Tribolium castaneum: one gene and its partners. The main gene of each other region encodes a partner of the protein of the gene in region 3 in a complex. Links are inferred from orthologs where the notes say so. Each region holds a gene or a part of one and is shown on either strand. Other genes may lie near its edges.

Region 1 (3,652 bases), on a different chromosome or scaffold from region 3:
ATGGAAAATGTCATAGCATGAAAATGTCAGATTTTTATATTTTTCTCAACATTTTTTTTAAAGGTTAAGTTAGAACTGGCACCTTTACTGACTCACCTCAAAAAACATATATCAAAGAGTGTCTTTTCGTTCTCTGACATGCAAAGTTTCATAATAATCGGATAAAGCTGTAGTTTTAATATTTTTTGAGGTGGATCAGTAAAATACTATTGTTATTTGTAGAGGGGTACGTATTCGTTGTTAAAATTATATTTTTTAATTATCTGAGATCTGTACCAAAGAAGTTTAACAACAGAGACAAAAAGAAGAAAAGGGACAGGCCAAAAAAAAAGAAATTATTTCGTGGAATTATCATCGGAAGAAAACAAAAAAACAAAGGTAGAAGAAGTAAGTAATCAAGTAATAATTGAGGAATTAAAAAACAGGTCTCTGTAGATAGAAGAAAACAAAAAGACAAAAAGAAATGAATTGATAGGATTTAAACAGGATGACTTTAAGAATGCTGTTGGAGATGAGAACAAAGTGGAGAAGAGACACTGATTAACAATTATTACAAAAATAATAGACCAAATATTATGAAGAGGGAGATTTCCAAAGGAAAGCAGAAATAAGCTAAATACATAAAAAAGCTAAAAGGAAAGACATGAAGAACTAAAGAAGAGTGAATTTGTTGGAATACGACCAAAAACAATGCAATTGATAAAAGAACTTAAAGGAAGAGCTGGAGTTTTACTGGATGAACTAGCGGTATTTTAAGTGATGAATGCGAATGATAGTAAAATCACTTCAAAATAAATATCCTAACTAAAATGTAAATTATTAAAAAAATTCATTTTGACAACCTTTTGTTTTCTTACTTAACTAGTAGCCGAAAGAACAGATTTCAGTGTGTGTGGTATTAAAACATATTTTTTCACTTCATTGAATTAAAAATTTTAATTTTAAAAATTCATGTTGAGATAGAAATACAAATACAATAATATGTTAAAATCTTCAACTGGGAACACTTCAGAATGTAAGAAGCATTTTTGAATTGATCTAGTTTACCTTAAACAAACTATTAGAAGAAACTACAGCCATCGGCAGATGATACTTTTACCGTACAAGCGAAGGCAATCTGCCTAACACCCTAAAATTTCGAAATGACACAAATATAAATGACACAACTATGTAATCGATTAATTTTTGTGATTAAAGTTAAGACTGTAGTGTTCAATTCTAATATTATAATATTCAATTTATGCAACTGTTTCATTAAATGTTTAGAAGAATGTTAACACCATTCACCAGAGGCGCCAAGGTCTTGAAAAGCGAATAGTTAGCGAGCTTACTTCAATGTGGCGCCATCTATTTTTTTCTAAAATTCTTCTCTTGTAACTTAGGAACCAATTTAATTAGTGGCTTTTTGTTTAAAAAATTTAAACAATGACAGCACATAACTGAATTGTTGTCCTCTTGGAAATAAAAAAAGACATGGAATGCGACTTAATTGAAGAAAAACCTCCTTCACTGATCAAGGAAACTGATACATTCATGCAAACTTACGTTTTATTCAACTTGACGCAACAATTTACCGCCGCCGTTAAGCTGTCCTTATCCACCGTGTTTTGGTTGAGATTTTCCAAATACTTTTTTAGAAGACTTGAGGTGAAAATTTCCCGATTCATTCCCTCTTCAGCGGCCAAATTGAGCGCCTCAGCCCACCTCCCCTGCTCACTGAGATACAAAAGTCGTTCCGGCCACGTCCTTAATTTAATTAAATGCACAGCTTTTGTACCCAAAACTAGTAATTGATCCCCTCGACTAGATAAACTGTTGTAACAGGCCCTCTCCCCTGCCAGTGCAAACGCCTCACTGACGCCCCCTCCCACAGCCAGGGCTTTAAAATGCGCCGAACTATACACCAGTCCAGCACTGGCCAACTCCAAAACTTCCAACTCGCGCTGCGTCCGCACCTCCACCAGCCTCAAATTCTCACTGGTGTCAAGTAACGCCAAGTGGCGCGTCCCCAACCAATGCATGGCAGTCAGAGTATAGTTCAGCTGAACGTTGCGCAAGGGGAGAAGCCTCAGTCGATTGTTATTCGTACTATGGAATACAACTCGGGTGTAGTTCAGTTCGTTGCAGCGCCCCCATGCGAGCACGGGCTGAAACGTTCGTCCCACCGACACCAACTGCCACGAAATCAACGGCAGAGAGGTTGAAACTCTCGGTAGCGGCTGACTGAACAGGACTTTCAGCCGGGGCCGAATTGATATCACTATGACCTGGAATCATACTTGTACATTTCTGAGGACAGTTTTGGTTTGTACCTTGGATAATGTAGCCATGGCAACAAGGATATGGTGGCTTAAAAAATGAATATCGTGGCCTTGGACCAACGGTTCAAAGACACAAACTTCGCCACGAGCGCCCGAAAAAAGACACTTTGAGTCCCAACTGCGTACTCCTAAACGGCGATTAAACGAAAGGGAAAAAACGCAACCTGAAGAGTCGCCACAAAGCGCCAAATTATTCAAAAAGGTGAATCGCAAGTGCAAGACGGCGGTCTGGGGGGCATGGGCGTCGGGTAATTTTCTAATTATGTCGCCACTGGTTGCGTCCACCATTGAAATAAAGCCCCGTTCATATCTAGAATTTTTTTAGTTAGAATTAAAACATTTAAAGAAGTGTCTTTAGGGATAAAGAAGTCTAGGGATATATAAAACTTAGGACATAAAACGGCCAACCAATAAAACGTCCCCGTAATCGATAGTTCCGTTAATGTCGCCAGAGGCGCACTAGTTCCATTACCGTCAGTTTTCAGATTTATAAAAATAGTTGTAATTAAATAACGGTTAGCACAAGGCGAATGAAAAATACAGACATATAGAGCATTCAATTCTCAATAGTAAGAAATAAACATAAAATGCACAAATTATAATTTTAAACCAAATTTACAAAATTTCAAATTTTTCAAAACGCTGCGAAAACGGTTTCAGATGCAAGAAAAATATTAGGAAGAAAGTTGTAGAGAATTAAATTTCCTACAAAAAAGTGTGCGAGACCACATCTCTATCTTCAACCGTTTAGGCCCCAAAGACGTTCAAAAACGCTGTAGTGGGGGATTCGTTTCATTTTTCCTGTGGTCGAGTATAGAAAGAAGATAGATATGGAATATAGTATATAGAAATATGGTGTTGCAATTTTTTTATATAAAATTAAATTTCCTTCAATTTTACTCCTTTCTCTTTTTTTGTATTTTCAACCATATTCGCACCGTTGACAAAAATACAGCGTGTTAGGGCATAGACAAATCGATTAAGCAAAATTTATGTAAATCAAAATGCATAGCTTCCCCAAAAAATCGTTCCGAAGTTAATGTCCCAAATTTTGAGAACCGCTGAACTAGCATTATAAAAATTAGCGTAAATTCTAATATTAATGACAGAACAGCAGAAGTAAATTAATTTCTTGGACCATTACGTTATTCTTTATTTCAATTTGTGTTTTATTATTAAATTTTACGAAAAAAAAATTCTTTTTGTCAGGACCAGGATTCGAACTTCCCACACAAATGAACATGTTAGCCACAATTTTGAAAAATTCTCAAAACGCCCATGCGCCACCATCTCCATTTTGTTTAATAAAAAAATTAAGCGCTAATAAGCTA
Region 2 (4,377 bases), on a different chromosome or scaffold from region 3:
GTTTCTTTACTTAATTTAGCTCGATTTAGTTCATTTTTAAACTAGAGATTTTGGAAGATTCTATGTGGAGATAGTAAATACATTCAATTAGTCTTTGCATTTTTCGACCACTCTCGCAAAATTCCGTAAAAAACAAGTTGAAAATTGACAATTTCACACCAAAATTGTTATTTATATGTTGAATCTAATTTAATGAGGTAAAAAAGCTTTTTTCGACAAATTTCACTAAAACTGGTTGAAAAAATACCAAACTTGAACTTATTTCGCCGAATTTTGCTCAATTTTGAGCAAAAAATCAACAAGATTTATTTGGTGGAAAATGTGTGGAAAATGGGAAAAAATTACCAAAATAAAAACTAAAATAAAACCAACAAATTACATTACTTCCTCATTTTTGAGTGATTTACTACGTAACTAAAAGTATAGATAACCTCTAAAAGACTGTGAAATTGAAACACAAAAAATTGCATATTCATTTTAGATCTTTGACGTTTGTTACACTACTTTGAGCAAATTAAGTAAACTGTTCAAATTTATAGTAAATCTAGGAACACATGATATAACCAGTATATTTTGCGGTAAACTGTTTTATTTTATTAATTATACTATTACTGTAAAATTCACTTATTAAGAGACATAAAGTAATATGGTAAGTTTAGAACTGTTAGTGTTAAACCTAAAGTAGCCTGAACAAACTGTCATCCAGAGCGAAAAAATGTATTTGTGTGTAGGACTTCCGGTTGGCTCTATCTAACTCATTTTGTCAAAAATAATTGAAAAAACATTTTGTTATTTTAAACTTTCTCAAGCGAAAATTTTCATTTTTTTCTGAGACAAAATCTTATTATTTATGCTTTCTTCAAAAAATGTAGATTTTTTTTAATTTCGTTAAAATTGACAAAACAACTCATAAAACAAATTGAAAACGGCTTAAATGAATAGTTTTTATCCAAATTGATGCATATACTGTTCTTTCGGATAAGTTAGAATAAGATTACTTAATGTCTCTTCATCTTGTTTTGCTTGATTTTAAACATTTCCTCCAAAAGTTTTACCCTTTTGGTAAACGAGATTTGGTAAACGAGACGAGATTTGGTCGAAAATATTGCTGTTTATAATAGTAATAATTAGAGCTTGTTTCTGACAATTATTATTTTATTATTTTGCAAAACCTGGTAAAAACAAGCCCAAAAATCACACAATCATCAAGTCGAAATTGATATGATATTGTCCGTTTCACTAGGTCTTGATTCGTAAGTTAACTAAAAGAGACGAAATTTCGTTAAAAATTGTGCCACTTTAATTTTTTAAAAGCATTTCACTATGTGTTTGAAACATTTGAATTAATATTTTAAGTATTATTTGCGTAATTTCATTCAAATAAACCGAATAATTTTTAAATTAAGAGAGTTTTAGATAAAAAAAACTGTTGTAAATATGCTAAAATACAATGTGCTAATAAAACCTCTTTGTATTTTTGCAGCAACTAGTTACTTAAAAACATACTTTTTGTTAATTAAAACAATCTGTATTCCTAACCCAATCTTAATGTAAAGATGTACGACGTTTTGAATTAAATTTTTAATTCAATTTTATTTGTGTTTAATAGTTTGAACAAAAAATTAAGCTCTTTTCGACAAATTTCGCTAAAACTCGTTAAAAAAAAACTCGATTTATTTCGATCAAGTTAGCTCATTTTTGAACAAACCTACGTCAAAAATACGGCAAAAATTATTTAAATTAATCTGTTAAAAATCTGGTGGTAATATTTGTAAATTCAGCAAATTGTATTTTTAATCTGGTAAAACACTGCACAAAATAGACATAAAAATGTGATCAAAACTGCCATGATAATGAAGTGTCAAAATTTGTCACAAAATTTTCACAGCACTCTAGAATAAAGCACATAACTACCTCAATCAGGGCGTATTCCCCCCTGTAGCCCACACAGATAGTCTCCTCACACCAAACCATCGATTTTGGCACCTCAGCCAACGTAATATCTTCCATAAGTTGAAAAAATTCATTATTTTTAAGATAATACAACTGAAGCTTTCTTTTCACAGCCACAGCCAACCTAACCAAAGTACTAGTAACCCCTGTTAAAGACGTCTGTTTCTGAATATTGACCGCAAAAATTGTGGCCCCTTTAGATTTCAACACCTGATGAACGGTCGTAAAATTAATTGCATTAATGTCGTGTAATTGTATTAAATTATCTAAAAATTATACAAAAAATAAATTTGACAAATGAGTGACATTCATTTTCATAGCACTCTTACCAGTGAGACTTATCAGTAAATGATAATCGGGGATTACCTCCAGTTGTTGAACTGCCTTTTTACTAAACGATTTATTGTATCTCATTAATTGGACTTCGCATTTTTCGTCGTTTTGCACCAAACTATACATAAATAAATGACCCTGTCGGGTGCCAACCAAGAGATTTTCATCTGCAATAAATAATAATTAAAAAATAAATTATGGGGAAAATATGATACGGACCGTAAGCTGTGATTGCTTCAATTTGCGAAGTCAATTTTAGGAGAGAATGAACTTGATATGCTTCATGCATTTTGTTGTTTTCATATTGTCAAAGTGACAGAAACCTAACCTCAAAATCAAAATTAAATTATTTAATATTATCGTCAAAATAAAAAAAAATGTCTTGTTATTTACACTTGTAAGACTTCTTTTGGAACAACGTTAGCACGATTACGTACTTTTTTATTTGTTTAAGCCGATTTGTGTTTTTTTTAATTACGTTGGTGAGACCTTTTCCCCCAAACGAAGCCATTGCTACCAATTGATTCAGTAATTCCTTTCTTGTCAACTGTCAAGTCGAAAGGAGCGATGGTAAGTCTTTCAATTATATTTATTTCATCCGTTTATATTTCCTACTTAATTTATTTCATATCAACTTCTGGAATCACATGAATTGATTATTTGTTTGTATTTTTCAGTCTGCTCACAAAACATTCATAATCAAGCGAAAGCTTGCCAAAAAGCTTAAACAAAACAGACCCATTCCCCAATGGGTCCGTATGAGGACAGGAAATACCATCAGGTGAGTATTTTTTTATTTCTTTAAAACCGTGTTACAAAAACGCAACATTTTGTTTAACTTTGTATCGAAATTTGTCATTTCAAATTTGAGGTTACATAGGCACTCAAATGTGTTACTAAACCTGAATATTTAGTTATTTTATTTTGTTTTTGTTGTCCAAACATTGGCAGTAACATACCAAAAATTTAAATAGAGACGTTTACTAAATTTAAGAGCTTTGAAATAAAGTTGTGTTATTTTTGGGCTTATTATAATCAATTTTTTTCTAGATAATAAATTGCTTCTCTGTTTGAATTTATTTAATAATATAAAATATAAAACAATTTTTGACGAAATTTCTCGAGATAACTACAAAAAAAAATATTCTTGCACCTTAATAGTATCTTTTACATCAAGGTGGCGAAGATTATTTCTATTGACCGAGCACCAAGATTATTTCGCGAGGGGCTTTGCCCCGAAAAAACTGAAAATGTAATTTTCGGTCTTTCAGTGTGTTTTAGCGTTAAGGCGGTCCCCGAGAACTGTCAAAATCAAACTGCCAAACCAAAAAAAATAGTGTTTTTACACTTTTTTTACTTTTATACATATATCAAAATCGACAACAATTTTCAACCAGAAACCATTGTGGCGCCTCCAACTGACAAATAAATTTTGAAAGTGATAATTTAAAAAAATATTCTCAAAGAAATTTTTCTAAGGTTGTTTTTTCCTTGCTATTGCTAGTATCTGTTTCAATTTCCGATTTCGATTTCCGTTCTGTGCAGTATCTTGCGTTTGGCACCCAAGTCTCAGATCAACAGACCAAAAAACTGATTCAATGCTAAATAAAAATGTGTAGTTTTGTGGGGAATCGATTTCTAATCATTGGTATGTTACTACTCCGTAATCTATTTTTTAAGATATGTATAAAAGTATGAACACATCATTTTGACAGTTCTCGGGGCGCCTTAAGGGAAATTTTTCGAAAAAAAAACAATTTTTAGTTTATACTAAATCAAAGTATACGCTCAAAAACGATAAAAAACACTAGTTTGACTTGATTTGGGATAAATTTTCATGTTTTTTTATGAAAATTGGATTTTGAAAAATAAAGCACAAATTGAGTTTCTGTAAAAAAAAGAAATGTGTGTTAAACTAATACACAGCGCCACGTTTTGAGCTGAGAAAAGCCACCAGAAACTCTCAATTTGTGCTCCATTTCACTCTAAGAAATTCAAATGCAAAATTCTACTATGAACTGAAATGAGATATAGTTATGGTCTCCATCAACACGGCTTCGTGACGTGGAAAAACAATAATGATTGGTCAAC
Region 3 (4,233 bases):
GCGAGGAGCGCTTGTAAGCCATACACCTGGAAAGTTTCACATTTTTTTTTCTTTAATTTGTGTAGAGGCTTGTGGAATCCAAATTAGGTTGGCAACACTTTGTTAAAGAGTGACATAAGAAGTGTCAGTTTGACGTATCGCCAGCTATGATTGGATTATCTGATTATCTGCCAATAAAAAATCATCAAGACCAGAATAATCAAAAAGTATGGCTATTTCACGTAGAATTGTCAAAGGATTCCAAATCTGTCCTCACTTTTGTTATAAAATTCATAATTTAGGAGATATTATCAAAATATGGTGGATTTAATTTTTTTTTATTCTAGCAAAAATGAAAAAAAATCAAATATAAATTGACCTTGTTAGTTATCTAATTTTGAGCAAAATTTTGAGGCAATCGAGTCAAAAGTATGCAAATAATTTACATAAACAACTTGGGCAAATTTTTATCTACTTATCTGGTAATAAAAAATCATCGAGACCACAAAAATCAAAAGTTTAAGTTAAAAGTATGGCACTTTGACGGGAAATTATCTGAGGATTCCAAATCTGTCCTCACTTTTGTTACAAGATATTTAATTTTATTAATTTGTGTAAAGAGGCTTGTGGAATCCAAATTAGGTTGGCAACACTTTGTAAAAGAGTGACATAAGAAGTGTCAGTTTGACGGATGGCCAGCTATGACTGGATTATTTGCTTATCTGCTAATAAAAAATCATCAAGACCAGAATAATCAAAAGTTTAAGTCAAAAGAATGGCTATTTCACGTAGAATTGTTTGAGGATTCCAAATCTGTCCTCACTTTTGTTATAAGATTCGTAATTTTGGAGATATCAAAATATGGTCGATTTAATTTTTTTTATTCTAGCAAAAATGAAAAAAAAAATTATAAATTGACCTTGTTAGTTAGTTATCTATTTTCGAGCAAAATTTTGCGGCAATCGAGTCAAAATTATGCAAATAATTCAAATAAACAACTTGGGCAAATTTTTATCTACTTATCTGCATTTAAAAAATCATGAAGTGCACAATAATCAAAAAATTAGGTCAAAAATATACATATCTGATGTAAAATTGTCTTAGCATTTCAAATCTGAGCTCATTTTTGTTACAAAATCCGTAGTTTTGATGATATTGGCTGAAATTTTTGTATAACACCGGTTAAAATTAAAAAAAAATTAATCGAAGTGGTTTGTGATTTTGAAATTAAGTTGGCAACCCTCAATAAACCATGACCTACTTGTAAAACCCACCTGAACCAGCTCCCTCTTGTAATGCTCCAGCACTTTGGGCTTGAGCCCCGAGCTGGTAATACACTGCAAACAAATCAGTCTCAAAACCTTGACCAGAGGCTTGGCATGTGCGATCAAATCCTCGATATACGGACTAGCTTTATCCACTTCAATGCAATTCAAAAACTCCTGTTCCGTTTGTAGCGTGTCCAAAAATTCGTAACCATCAGTCACTTCTTTAATGCACTCCGCAATGGCCGTGTGATGCGCCAAAGCCTTCTTCTTGGCCAAAATCTGCGGCAGCTTCTGCACATATAACTTCATCTCTTGCACGGACCGCTCCTGACTATTATCCAACTGCACACTGATCGCCTTCGCCTGCTTCGACAAAAACGCCCCCACGGCGTTAAAATTCTTATCGCGGATGTCGGCAAATAACTTGTCGGCTGAATTCAAGATGATTTGTTTCTTGTCTTCGGAGAGCGACTCAGAGGTGCGCTCTTCGCTGCTCAAGAAATTGTCAATGGGGAACTGGGCAGTCGAGTTATTTATGCCGAAAATCTCGTCAATGAGCCCCTCGTAGGTCAGTTGCGTGGCCAAGGGGGTTATCAGGTCCACCCCGCGGTCAATCAGCAGGATCTGGTCGATGGTGGACGTCTGATTCGTCTTCAAGGGGGCGTTCTTCTCGCGCTGGAGCCGCGTCACCAGCTCCCACACCTGGCGCGCGGCCGGGCCTTTGCCCCACACGCGCGGAATGGGGCCGTACAATTTTTGCAAAAAAATGATCGCCTGTGCCGTTTGGTACAAATAAGTCGGGTCGTTTTCAAGCGTGTACTCGCTGCGGAAAGACAGTGAGCCCCCATATTCACCCACGTGTGGACTTACCGGAAAACTTCAGAAATTTCCATCGAGACAACATCGGAGTCAAACGGGAATAACTCACAGCGGAACTCTTCAACTAAACTCACACTGCCGTACACTCCGTTATGCTTGAGGCGCTCCAGACACAGGAGGCTCTTTTTCGGGACGAAAAACACGTGGTATTGCTTTTTGGAGCCGGTTTTGGTCTTGCAGTCGGCGTGGACGTTGTAGCCCACAAAGTCCATTAGGTGCAGTTTGGGGCGCGTTATGAAGATAACGTGGGCTACGTCTGTTTCTGGGAGTGGTGTGGGGCGCAGGGGGAACATTTTAGTGACCGAATGTTCCTTCAAGACTGCGTATTGGGCGATGAGTCCCACGGGGCCCGCAAGCGAGTTGTCCCAAACGATGGCTTTGGGGCCTGGGCATTTCTCCAGGAGGGTGATGAGGTTGTTACGGGCCGCCGTTTGGATGAGGGATATGTCAACGCGGCCCCCTTGTAAATGAGATGACATTTTCGAGGTTAGCTGTCACTGTGACAGTTGTTTGAGGTTAGCTGTCACTGTGACATGTGGTGACAATGGGGTGATTTACAATTTTGGGGCGATGACAAAATTGGGGATTTGGGTGATTGTGGGCCTTTGGGGTTGTTTTATTTTGCAATGTTCGAAGGAGTGGTGCGAGATGGCGCTAAGGTTTATGATTCATGAACGTTTGCCGTCCTCGTGGCTTTAAATGAATTGGTAGGGGGTAAGTTTGTCAGCTTTGCGCAGTGGCAGTATCGTAACCGATGAGGTAAATCCGAGGTGCGATTATTGCTAGTTGAAAACTTTAACCAATACCCCGCCATGTGCACGTGAAATACCGTGCGCTACGGCAATTTTTGGAAGCCTCTACGGGGGCTTATTTATAAATCAAAGACATAATCAGCCAAACTGGCACAAATAAACCATGATAATTACTTTTGCTCCACCGTGTATGTTAAGTATCGGTTAATAGAAGCGTCATTAAGTTAATCTGCAATTAAATGCGTGATTAAGGATAACTGATCACCTGACCAAATTGAACAAATTTGGTTGGTCCATTCGTTTTGTTAACTTTTAACAACGAATTAAATTTTAACAAAGCTTTCTACATATAAACCGGCCCTAAGTATATAACTGGTTTATAAAAGCGTCATTAATTTAATTAATCTAATTAATCTGATTTTATTTAAATTACATTATACATAATAGTAAAAAACCTAAATTCTTTCTTTCGTTCTTTCTTTTTTCTTCTTTCCTCTTTCTTCTTACTTGTTTCTTCTTTCTTTCTTTATTTCTTTCTTTCTTTCATTCTTACCTTCTTGATTGTGCGGTGCCTATTGTAACAATTTGTTTTCTATTTGTCATATATGAATGAAGAAAAAATGAAATTTTGTCGAAACCGTAAAAAGATAATTTTGCACATAAAAGTGAGTGATCCGAGGCGCCGAAGGCTTTAGAAAAATTCAACAGTGGCACAATTGTTGCTTCACTTTTATCCAAAGCTCCAAAGCAATCATTAAGAATTTTTCCTATACTGTAACAGTATTTATTTATTTTTTGATAACCTGATTGTTTATTAGTAACTTTTTCTTAAATGTTTGTAACTTTTTCTTAAATGTTTGATAAAACTGGTTATATGCTAATGGGTCTCAAGTCAGAACATGCATTGGGATTTTTTATTTTTGGGTAGAAAACGTACTAAAGCGTTTTCCACATTTAAGAATTAAATTTCCACCTTATGAGTAATAAATTTCTTCAGTATGTGACGTCAAATGACTTGTGGACACTTATCTTGGAAATCGAGAAATTCTCCCCCTTAAATGTTAAATGCATCTCTGGTAATTAAATAATATCGACACTTTTTTCTAAAGGTCAGAATTTAAAAATGTGCGGTTCTTGTAATCTGAATAGGATGTTATACAACCAACAATACACCTTGACCACAATTAATTAGAATTAAGGTTTTAAACCGACTTCTTTCTCAAAGTTTGATTGTAGAATATCAGATAACTTTCACAATACAATTATTTCAACACAACTTGCTTTTTTTTGCGGCATTTCGTCGCAAGAATTTAAACTTGGTGCGTCCAAATGTCACATTGACAGTCAGCTGTTTA

What was found.
Region 1: car (region 3) and Vps8 share a complex: the UniProt entries of both Drosophila melanogaster proteins name them as parts of the class C core vacuole/endosome tethering (CORVET) complex. The link is inferred for Tribolium castaneum from reciprocal best matches to the Drosophila melanogaster genes car and Vps8.
Region 2: car (region 3) and Vps39 share a complex: the UniProt entries of both Drosophila melanogaster proteins name them as parts of the homotypic fusion and vacuole protein sorting (HOPS) complex. The link is inferred for Tribolium castaneum from reciprocal best matches to the Drosophila melanogaster genes car and Vps39.

Annotation. Positions count from the first base shown.
Region 1 is NC_087394.1:22,505,468-22,509,119, forward strand, and holds part of Vps8 (vacuolar protein sorting-associated protein 8 homolog), read right to left. Parts: intron 2,632-3,652; coding exon 2,313-2,631; intron 2,268-2,312; coding exon 1,546-2,267; intron 1-1,545. UniProt on the Drosophila melanogaster protein: Part of the class C core vacuole/endosome tethering (CORVET) complex involved in endo-lysosomal vesicle trafficking and lysosome biogenesis by facilitating docking and fusion of endosomal vesicles.
Region 2 is NC_087402.1:12,355,355-12,359,731, forward strand, and holds the start of Vps39 (vam6/Vps39-like protein), read right to left. Parts: upstream 2,823-4,377; 5' UTR 2,724-2,822; exon of another isoform or gene 2,680-2,723; intron 2,615-2,679; exon of another isoform or gene 2,610-2,614; 5' UTR 2,576-2,609; coding exon 2,506-2,575; intron 2,454-2,505; coding exon 2,283-2,453; intron 2,220-2,282; coding exon 1,915-2,219; intron 1-1,914. Other genes in the region: RpL39 (ribosomal protein L39), read left to right, coding at 2,854-2,856, 2,964-3,067. UniProt on the Drosophila melanogaster protein: Part of the homotypic fusion and vacuole protein sorting (HOPS) tethering complex involved in endo-lysosomal vesicle trafficking and lysosome biogenesis.
Region 3 is NC_087401.1:11,291,032-11,295,264, forward strand, and holds the start of car (vacuolar protein sorting-associated protein 33A), read right to left. Parts: upstream 2,811-4,233; 5' UTR 2,606-2,810; coding exon 2,118-2,605; intron 2,071-2,117; coding exon 1,254-2,070; intron 27-1,253; coding exon 1-26. UniProt on the Drosophila melanogaster protein: Core component of the class C core vacuole/endosome tethering (CORVET) and the homotypic fusion and vacuole protein sorting (HOPS) tethering complexes involved in endo-lysosomal vesicle trafficking and lysosome biogenesis.